Drosophila melanogaster: one gene and its partner. The protein of the gene in region 2 interacts with the protein of the main gene of each other region in a pairwise test. Each region holds a gene or a part of one and is shown on either strand. Other genes may lie near its edges. The genes, in order: fal and dnk.

Region 1 (6,830 bases), on a different chromosome or scaffold from region 2:
CCTTAAATTAATAATATTCTAATATGAGAAGAGATTTCTAAACATATTTATGTGCTTAAATTTCTAGACCCTTCAACACAGTGGGTGCCCTGGAACGAGCCAAGTTTGCCGTAGAACAACAGTACGCGGTGGTTGGAGTGCTGGAGGATCTGAACACCACGCTCTCAGTACTTGAAAAATATGTACCACGGTTCTTTGAGGGCGTTCGAGATATTTATGCAAGTAAGTTGATAGTAATGAAGCTCAGCGTCACCTACATTGAAGTCGAATCTAAAAATATTTGTTCAATGCTTTTGTTTTCATTTTACACTTCAATGTAGTACAAAGTATTAAGTTATAAAGCCACTTGTGCTCTACGTATACAATGTTGTATCACACTTACAATTGATATCGTTCTGTGAACTTGGCAAAACTGAGCTACAACCATCTTAATGGTACACAATTCCTGACTCATGTATTTGTTTAAAATTCCCATTTTAGCCAGCGCAGAGTACTTGACGAAGATCAACAAGAACAACTTCAAGCCGCCGGTCAGCGAGCATGTGAAGGACATAGTGCGTCGGAACTTTACGAACGAGATTGAGTTCTATCAATTTTGCCGCCAGAGACTCCACAAACAATATCTGGCTGCCCACTTACCACAGCGGATTATAACAGACTCAGCACATCTGCCCGGCCTGATTGGCAATTGAACTGTACTCTTCACAAATCACGAACAAATTGTAGGAACAAATATGATAAACAAAATCGTACTCGAAACCTGTAGTCAGCTAAGTTCCCCATTATTGTTTTCTCTTGTGTATATTTCAAAGCGGTTATCAAAAATATGACAAATGCATCTTATATTTATATAGATTAGTAAGTACCTTATGTTATAAAGACCTGAGTTTGAATTGTGATGTCTTCAAGTGAACTGTTGAAATTTTTGGTTTAGTATTTTAGTTTTAAGTCGATTATGATAAACACTGTATAAACTAATAAATGAATATTTTAAGAACATATTGTCTTTCCACTGATTTCACAGTTTTAACTATAAATGGAAACGAAAAATAAAAATAAAGAACATTAAATAACTAAAAAAAACTCAACGACTATGCTGGATAACAAAATGTAAATGGCAATAAGAATGGCCGCACTACGAACGCAACCGTTGGAGTATTTGTACATCTTTTTATGAAATATAGTTTATTAAATATAAGAAAACGAAGCGAATGGAAACAATAACATACGTTTGTTTGTTGACTTAACATGAACTATTCTCTGGTGGATGTTTCTACTCTAACTTAAAGCACTTGTTGACTATCGTCGGGCTTACACATCGGGTAATTGGACGCTTCTTGCTGGAAATAAAAATAATTAACTCGTGATCTATAGTTATCGGAGTAAACATATGTATACCGCTTATTGCCAAAGAAAGCTAACTCCCTTGCGGATTTTATAAGCTCCCAAGGTCCAGGTATGACCCTGTTCACCCGTATGATGTCCGATCCGGAACAGTCGTTGCTGGGGACTTCTACGAGTCGATGAGGTTCTTTTACATATCTCGATATAGGATCCTTTTCAATGACATTTAAAACATACTCGTCGGTCAATTCCAGCCACTTTGGATCCTTTGAGCGAATACTTAGTAGTTCTGGAGCAATACGTTGTACTACACTGACAAAAATAACATCCATGGCACAAGTTAGCGGATATTGATAGGCCTTTACGTGGAGCAGCGATCGCGCCTCGAACAAGCGATATACCCGATGATAGTCAGCATAACGATACTCTATGCGTTGACCATCAGGTGATATGCGAGCCTGAAGAAATACATCATCAAAGTCCATTTCCGCAGAGCTGAGTATTTTCAGGCGCTTGTTATCACGCCGCAGATAATCCCATTTATCCACATCCAATCCGCAGCGACGATTATGCACAATATCAAAGATGTAGGTATGTCCCAGCATGGGGAACGGCAGATTCTCACTGGATCCCAATATCAAAGCCTTTATCAATTGAACACCTCGCCCGCCACCATCATCTCTCAAGGAGACTAGCTCCTGATTGAGGGCATCCTTAAAAATTTTATCCACACAGGCCATTGCGTTTTCCTCGTGCTATAATAGAAACAGGAATATCAGTTGACCACCTCAGGAATTGCTAGGGGTGCCAGTACAGATAACTTACATCAAATTCATGGTGGGTCACCAACTCCCAGGCATGTGACATTGGTCCGTGACCAATGTCGTGAAGGAGAGCGGCTATCTCCACCGCCTGACGACACCAATCCGGAAGCTTTGGCTCGTAATGCGAATTACGTTCGATGGCCCTAAGGTGATCCTGCGCGCTTTTGTAGGCTCTAAGATTAAAAAAAAAAAAACAAAGTTTACTTATAAATCAATATTACTTCTTGTGTTTCTTACCCAAGGCAATGATCGTATCGCTTGTGATCGGCCTTCTTATCGATGGCCCACGGAAGGAGACCCAACTGGTGGACATGTTTGAGGCGCTGGAAGAGTGGATGCTCGACGATCTCTTGGATATGGCTCGACAGTTCGATTACACCGTGAACCTCATCCTCAATAAGCATCTAAAGGAAATAAACGTGATAAAAGTTTTAAGCAAAGTTCAAAAGCAAAGAAACTTATTGCAAGAGCCATATTCTATATGGCTTACTCTGCCTGACCCAAATAATTAAAATTATCCCTTTACTTCTTATGTAGATTATTATTATTTGTGGGCCAAAGATGGGATATACATATAATTTAGGTACATCACAGAAGTAAGGCTACCTGCCACCAGTACCGGTGCTACAGCCACTGCTGCTACCCCCACTGCTACCTCCACTGCTACTTCCACTGCTACTTCCTTCGGAGCTTCCGAATCCTCCACCCAGGCACATGGAGACTATAAAGAGACTTAGGCCTATTATGTCTGGAACAAGCCCCAGGGCGGCCATAGCACACTCCTGCCTCTCGAGCTGGCCATCGATCATCCGGCGGATGTTAAGGATGAGCAGGACACTACGGACGAGTATGATTTCAAAATGATTTGTATACAAATAGATCGGTCTTACCAATATGGAAGGGTTAGCACTTGGGCTGCTGCATACAAAGTCATTAAAACCAGAATGCTTGCCGGCTTGCAAAAAATTAGTAAATTAACAATCAGCATGTAAATCAAGGATGCGATAACCAGCTTCTCATTTTTCGACAACATGTAAGCGGCATTATTGTTAAATACAGCAACAACAATTGCTGTTATCAATGTCACAACCGTGCCGATCTGCAATATTCAATCTTAAAACAATCCACATTGGTTCAAACACTCATTTCTCACAGTCGCTGGGCGGATCTTCAAACGATGGTTTTTTAACAGCTTCAATGGATATGGACACGGACTGTTGCTTCCCAGAGGAAGTGCGAGGATCAAGTTAGCAAGTATTTTCATTTTTGTCAGAATGTCGACGAAGTTTGTACTATTTTTGTCTGCACTTAAATTTAAATCAGAGTAATACTTTAAATCATGGGTCACTTTAATTTATGAAAATATATATAAAAAAAAAGTGTTTGGATCGTGTAACGTATAACCTGCTGATAATAACTTTATGTGGTAGTAGAGTTATTTGCGGAACTTTCTTATCTTTCTCAACAAACATAGCAAAATAAATATAACCCTATCAAAGTACCAAAAAATGGGGGATTCCACATAATAGAAAAGATCTAAAGTCCATTCTAAAATTCGTGTTCGAAATGAAACCACATAGCATTCTACAAATATTAATTTAAACAGTGTTTGTAACAGTTATATGTCATACATTTTCTTCTTGAATAATAATAATGAGAGAAACGTAAGTTGTCTTGCAACTGCACCTCTATCAACGGTCAAACTAGAACTAGAACTGGAGCTTGATAGTTTGGTACATAAGCTCTGTATTCTTGAACTCAAGAACAAAATCAAGTTTTGGCACAGCATTAAGTTTACACGTTTCTCATAAAGCTCTTGATTTTCTGATGTTTATATTTACAAAAATTTTTTAATTTTAAAATGGCAGCAATGTTATGGAGACCAATTAAAATCTTTATATTTTTAATACTTGGGGAAGAAACTAAATGGTGGGGAAAAGTCTTTAAAAGAATCCAGCTTTCGAATTACCAAAATACTTTAGATTTCCAACCCAGATAATTTACGCTCCTTTTTAAGCTAGTGATTTTTATTAAATTTCCGCAGTAATAGATTAGCGTACGGTTTTGAATAGAAGAAAGTTTATAACAACCATTTGATTACAAAGGCGACTGAAAAATACGTTATTGCTAAAACATTGATGTGCTCAACATATTGATGTGCCATGACTTAGTACTTCATTATTTATTTTACAATATGTGGCAGATTGTAGCATTACACTAGTGCAACTAATTTATAAGCCTCACGCAATGCGCAAAGTTTAGTAGGTCAAGAGCTATTAATGCGCTCTTTTTTTGCAAGTGCAATCAGCTGTCATGCTTCACTAGCAACCCATAACAAACGGTTAACTCACAGATGGGCGTTGTTGTTGTTCGTGGTGTCCATGCTGCTGCTGTTGTAGTTGTTGTTGGGAAAGCGGGAGTTTCGAGTTCTTTGGTTCGTTGGAGAGGGGAAGAGAAAGAGAGCGCCGTCGCTGAGCGAGGGAGTGAATCACTGCGCTGGCTGACATTCTAATTGGATTCCTGCTTATCGACAATCCGCGTCCGAAGCAAACCCGAAAATGCGCACAGCACGACGTCTTGAAGGCTGTCTTCCCGCCGATTTGTGCGAATATATAACATCCGGGTATTTTTTTACATTTTATAGCGACTCCGATTCGTCAAGCAGAACGTACACAACTGTAAATTTGGCGATGGTAGCGCACAGCTGATTGCAGCTATCGACCAGGGATGCGATAAAAGCTGCACAGGAATGGCGACGCTTTCAAACGGTAAAGCTATTCATTTTGACGTAGACGCGAATGTAGAAAAAATACAAAATATGTGCCAGTATCACTTCATTGTTAAATTTAATAATACACTTTTTGTAAAGTATGTAGAGAAAACATTAAAGGTAATTTAGAAATTAAGAGTTTTTAATATATTTTGGCAGAGAGGCATGCGCCACCTATGCGGAGTGCGGCGAAACTTGGTTTTAAGGTGTGTGTCTCCGCTTTTTAGATATCTGCCAATGCTGATTTATCGATTAGAGTTGAGTACTCATCCCCAACAGTCAGGATGGCAGCTCCCAACATCCTTGAAAAAGGGATGGCAGCGCTATGTATCCTTAGAATTAGGGAATTCTGGATGGAAATACTACAAGCATTTCTATACTCGTTAATCGTAGTATAAAAGGTAGTATACTAGATTCGTTGAAATCATTCTTTATTAGGATCAATAGCATAGTCGATCTGTTCATGTCGTTTTTTATGTCCGTCCGTATAAACGCACAGATTTCAGGAACTATAAATGTTGCCACGCCCCCACTATAACGCCCACACTTTTTAAAAATGTTACGATATTTTTTAATATTATTAAATTTCTATCGATTTGACAAAACCCAAAAATACCGCGCCCACACTTTTGAAAAATATTTTGATTTTTTTGTGTTTTAATGGATTTATTGCCAATTTCTATCGGTATACCAAAAACACCTTGTAGCACATACAGAACGCCCCATAGACAGTTCTATTAATTATCTTAAGGCCTTAAAAAAAGGGATAATCTATAGCATTCAAAGTTTTCAGCTTATCTATTAAATGTTCACGCAGTATTCGCTAAAGCTTATTTAATATTTAATAATTTTTTTCGTGATATATCCGACTTAGTGCACTTACAAAAAAAGCTATTTTAAAACTAAACCACATACCTAATCATGGCAAACCCCATTCTTAAATGAAATACATTTTATTTTTAAGTGATACTCTTGACAAGAAAAATAAAAAATGACTTCATGTAGTTTTTGATTAACACACCCGAATTTCAAAATTAAATTACAGTTAATTAAATGTCATGTGATAAAAACACTGATTTATACCGAATAATAGGTAGCTCCCATTCTTTCAACATCAGATTCTGCGGGATATATTTTCCGGGGATAGGCGGGGGGCTGGCACGTGGCTCACTTAGCGTGGAAATTGCTTTTGCTGAGAGCGCCGTCGCACTGAAGTGAAAGCGAAAGTTGCCGCTGACCTACAGATGAAAGTAGCACACTGATTTCTCTTCAGGACAAGAGGAAAACGCAAAGAGAGGCTAACAGATTCGCGGCAAAGAGAATGTATCTTTGTATCTTTATCTGCAGCCTAAATAAATGCAATTTCATTTTAGGTTGCATTGCAGTTTCTGCATCTCCTCGTAGAATACTCCCGACAGTCAACGCACTTAAAGAATAACAGAGAACACATACAATTCGCACTAAGATACATTTGTATCTGTGCCGCAGTTTATCTTCAGTGTGTAAGTGAAATACTCAACCCCAGATAGGTAAACGAAAAATTGAACAAGAGCAATTAATAAAACAATGAAACGAAAACAAGCATTGGACAAACAATTTTGATATGCCAATATAAACAAAAAACAGGAATTTAAAAAAAAAGCCGGCTCCACACTTGACTGAGTGAAGCGATAAAGAGAGCCAATATGGAGAGATATCACTGGGAGAAATCAAGAGCGTAGTCAAAATGCAAACAAATGCTGCACAGTGGTAATATACTCGATAAAAAATATATTTCTGTTCTAACGTTATCTTTTTATAGGCCACAATAAAGGTTAAAATGATTTCGATATTTTAAAGCGATTAAATATAATTTACCTTGGGCTTAAAGAAGCTAGAGGTATTCTTTCTGG
Region 2 (4,207 bases):
GGAATGCCCTATATGCCTCCACTGATGAACCCCATGATGGGCATGCGTCCGCCACCGATTATGAATCCCATGGCCATGATGGGACCACCGCCTCCACTGGGCACTATACCCGGCGTCCGTCCAGGAATCATGAACGGACCCAAGTGAACGCCCTCAGGAACGGCATCAACGTTCACAGCACAGATGGAGTGCTCTCCTTGCGATGTCCTAATTAAGCTGTAGCATTTAAGTAAGCCCGATAGCGAAAACAATTAATTATATACATTTATATAAAGCAAGTTGACTCAACAAATGGTTGTCTTTGTGGGTGGAAGTCAATAGAGAAATAAAGTATATATATTTAGGTCAGTAATGAGAAGCGCATGCAGTCACATTAGAGTTCAGCAGGCATAAGATCACGCCGCTTTTACGGTGCACACATTATTATGACTTTAAAAAACCCCGCTTCAGAAAAAGATAACAAAAATCAATGCTAGAGAAGGCATTTAATGATTTCATTGTCCAACACAATATAGTTAAAATGCAAGTGAACTGAAATGCTAACACAAAAATAGTAGGTGCCTTGCCTTTAACATAAACATTCACAGTTTTTATTACAATATTTTGAGCTTACATACTAGTTGCTGTGAAGAGAATATAATGTGGATTATAATTGTTAATATACGAATGTGTTAATCATTGGCTCGAAGTGTAAGTTTCTGCCTTTGTCCCGCGAATCGGCTCGTCTAGGCCTCTTATAATATTATTTTAAACGTCTGTACTACACACAATTAGGTACTAATGGGATAATGGTTATCTGGCGACCCTCTGGCGCTTGCTGGGCGACACCAGAACCGGCGAGGGCTGTTGGTTACTTGAGATGGCGTCGAATATGCTGCTCTCCGAGCGCTGGTACTCGGTGCCAATGTTTTCCAGGTTCAGATCGGCATCGAGGACTAGGACCTGAGGAAAAATGCATATTTAGCGGCTTCGGTAGATGTGAGCTTGTGTAGAAACTACCTTGCACGACTGCGGTCGTCTCTGGTGTATCAACCAGTCCTCGTGCAACTCATGCAGCTCCTGAAGGTACTTAAGCGGCACGCAGCTCTCCTCAGAACGAGCCCGCTGCCGGATGCGTTCGTACGCCACCTCCGGCGAGGTGCGCAGATATATGATGAGGTCCGCCTGCACGTGAATGGACTCTTCGATGAACTTGTACCACTCCTCCAGCGTATTGTACATGCCCTGCTCCAGCGAGCCGTTTCGTCGCATGTTCTCCACGAAGCAATAGCTGCGGCGCGATGGGTAATGGATAAGTTTCGTTTAGCGTTTCTGGTCAAACCGGACGACGGGAATAATGCACTCACCGAGCGCTAAAAATGGAGCGCTCCATTATTTTTAGCTTCTTGTTGGTTGGGGCGGTGTGCGACTGCAGCATGGTCAGCGTGACATAACTCTGAAAGGGCATGGCCCACTTCTTGGGATCTTTGTACATCAGCTCCAGCAGATTTACCCCGTTGACGTTGCGCCACTTCTCGACGGGCTCGGTCAGCAGGCAAATGTCGTTCTTGTACTTCTCGAAGTGGTTCAAATACGTGGTCTTCCCGCTGCCGATGTTGCCCTCGATGAGGACGGTGAAGGGCTGGGTGCCCTCGGCGTACTTGGTCCCCTTTCGGGCACAGGATGCTGCCTCCGCCATCAGTCCGGATAATCGGCGATCTGCACGTGAGATTGGGAGTTTTACTAACTGTTTTAGGTACAGCACAGCAGCAACGGATCGCGGTTGAAGTTGATTGTTCCGGATTCGATGGAGTACTGTACACGGCGGCGGGAATATGGTGACTGATTCAACCCGCCTGGTCAGATCGTTTACCGCCGAAAAACAAAAAGAGCGGGAACATCGCCATTTGTTTCTTTTTTTTTTAATCGGTGTTACCTATCGTTATGCTTGTTTTTGTCAACCGGCTGATCGGTAACTGTGTGTGTGTGTGTGTGTGTGTCTATTCTATTGCCGGTAATGTTTTTACATACATCTTTACAAAAACTTAAAGTTTAAGCCAATGCTGGTTGAATTACCTATTAATGATATAATGTTTTTCTGCCACATGTGCTTGCTGGACATTGCTGTTTTTACAAATTTATTAAATACAAATACCACTGATAGCAATAAAATTAAACATTTATTGCTCACAACTTTTATGGCCTCTTATTTATTTTATTTAACGTTGTGAAATGAATTTTCTTTTTGCCTATACTGAGAATCAGCTGTCGGCGATAACGATAACGGTCAGCTGTTCTGTGCATAGTATCTGTTTTTCGCCATCCCTACGACGACGCATTTTTTATCAATATTATTGTACATTTTTATAAACCTGTATTAAAACTTATTTTTAAAAGGAATCTTAAACCGGGAAATTAGTTTACGATGTCCATAGAAATCGAATCAGCGGAGTAAGTACTGTAAATCGACCAACACCACTCAGTTTTTACTAGATCCGTGATTTCCCCCCCAAACAAAGTGTGATTCGGCTCATCCAGCAGTATCTGAAGGAGTCCAACCTTATGAAGACCCTGCAAACGTTACAGGTTAGTACTTACACACCGCGGAGAGAGTTTGTCTTTCAATGATCTTAAACTTTCAGGAGGAAACGGGTGTCTCCCTGAATACGGTGGACAGCGTGGATGGCTTTGTGCAGGATATCTCCAACGGGCACTGGGACACCGTGCTAAAAGTGACCCAGTCTCTCAAATTACCGGATAAGAAGCTGCTCAATCTATACGAGCAAATAGTCTTGGAGCTGATCGAGCTCAGAGAACTGGGCGCAGCAAGATCTCTGCTCCGCCAGACGGATCCCATGACCATGTTGAAGCAGCAGGAGCCCGAACGATACATCCATTTGGGTAAAATATAAGCCATTCTAAGGTTTCACTAGAGTTCGTGATTCCTAATTGGTATATTTGTCTGTAGAAAACATGCTGCAGCGCGCTTACTTCGATCCCAGGGAAGCCTATGCAGAGGGAAGTAGCAAGGAAAAGCGGCGCACGGTCATTGCCCAAGAGCTAAGTGGCGAGGTGCATGTGGTGCCCTCCTCCAGGCTCTTGGCACTCCTGGGACAGGCTCTTAAATGGCAACAGCACCAGGGACTCCTTCCGCCCGGCACCACCATTGATTTGTTCCGCGGCAAGGCGGCGATGAAGGACCAGGAAGAAGAAATGTATCCCACCCAGCTGTTCCGACAAATCAAATTTGGCCAAAAGTCGCACGTTGAGTGCGCTCAGTTCTCGCCGGATGGTCAGTATCTGATAACGGGCAGTGTGGACGGTTTCCTTGAGGTGTGGAACTTTACCACCGGCAAGGTGAGAAAGGATCTGAAGTACCAGGCGCAGGACCAGTTCATGATGATGGAACAGGCGGTGCTGGCGTTGAACTTCTCACGAGATTCCGAGATGGTGGCATCGGGCGCACAGGATGGCCAAATCAAGGTGTGGCGCATCATCACCGGTCAGTGTTTGCGTAAATTCGAGAAAGCCCACACCAAGGGAATAACCTGTCTGCAGTTCTCGCGAGATAACAGCCAGGTACTCAGCGCATCCTTCGACTACACGGTGAGACTGCACGGGCTGAAGTCGGGAAAGATGCTGAAGGAGTTCAAGGGGCATTCCTCCTTTGTGAACGAAGCCACCTTTACGCCTGACGGACACAGCGTGCTCAGCGCATCTTCCGACGGCACAGTAAAGGTTTGGTCCCTTAAAACGACCGAGTGCGTGGCCACGTACAAGCCCCTTGGCAACGAGTTGGCCGTAAACACAGTCCTCATTCTGCCCAAGAATCCCGAACACTTCATTGTCTGCAACAGATCCAATACGGTTGTCATTATGAACATGCAGGGCCAGATTGTGCGATCCTTCTCGTCGGGTAAGCGCGAGGGCGGTGCCTTTATCTCAGCCACTCTTTCGCCGCGAGGAGAGTTCATATACTGCGCTGGAGAGGATCAGGTGCTTTACTGTTTCTCCGTCTCCTCCGGTAAACTTGAACGTACTTTGAACGTAAGCTGCTCTTTAAACTATTTGTTTTCAAACTGACTTTAAACGTGATATTTATTCCATAGGTTCATGAAAAGGACGTCATTGGCCTGACACATCATCCGCATCAAAATCTACTGGCCAGCTACAGTGAGGACGGCCTGCTGAAGCTTTGGAAGCCTTAGACCATATAAGCAATTGACTT

The links.
Region 1: the proteins of dnk (region 2) and fal interact in a two-hybrid assay, tested with the Drosophila melanogaster proteins (2 studies listed by BioGRID).

What each region holds. Positions count from the first base shown.
Region 1 is NT_037436.4:19,292,788-19,299,617, reverse strand, and holds fal (falten), read right to left. Parts: upstream 5,055-6,830; 5' UTR 4,520-5,054; exon of another isoform or gene 4,420-4,519; intron 3,476-4,419; exon of another isoform or gene 3,322-3,475; intron 3,268-3,321; exon of another isoform or gene 3,059-3,267; intron 3,006-3,058; exon of another isoform or gene 2,775-3,005; intron 2,573-2,774; coding exon 2,406-2,572; intron 2,342-2,405; coding exon 2,170-2,341; intron 2,100-2,169; coding exon 1,399-2,099; intron 1,341-1,398; coding exon 1,274-1,340; 3' UTR 788-1,273; downstream 1-787.
Region 2 is NT_033777.3:18,979,043-18,983,249, reverse strand, and holds dnk (deoxyribonucleoside kinase), read right to left. Parts: upstream 2,256-4,207; 5' UTR 2,056-2,255; intron 1,994-2,055; exon of another isoform or gene 1,926-1,993; intron 1,827-1,925; exon of another isoform or gene 1,699-1,826; 5' UTR 1,679-1,698; coding exon 1,347-1,678; intron 1,271-1,346; coding exon 1,000-1,270; intron 943-999; coding exon 793-942; 3' UTR 501-792; downstream 1-500. Other genes in the region: snRNP-U1-C (small ribonucleoprotein particle U1 subunit C), read left to right, coding at 1-147; Smu1 spliceosomal factor, read left to right, coding at 2,405-2,430, 2,499-2,565, 2,622-2,880, 2,948-4,026, 4,089-4,187. UniProt on the Drosophila melanogaster protein: Deoxyribonucleoside kinase that has a broad specificity phosphorylating thymidine, 2'-deoxyriboadenosine, 2'-deoxyribocytidine and 2'-deoxyriboguanosine. Specificity is higher for pyrimidine nucleosides.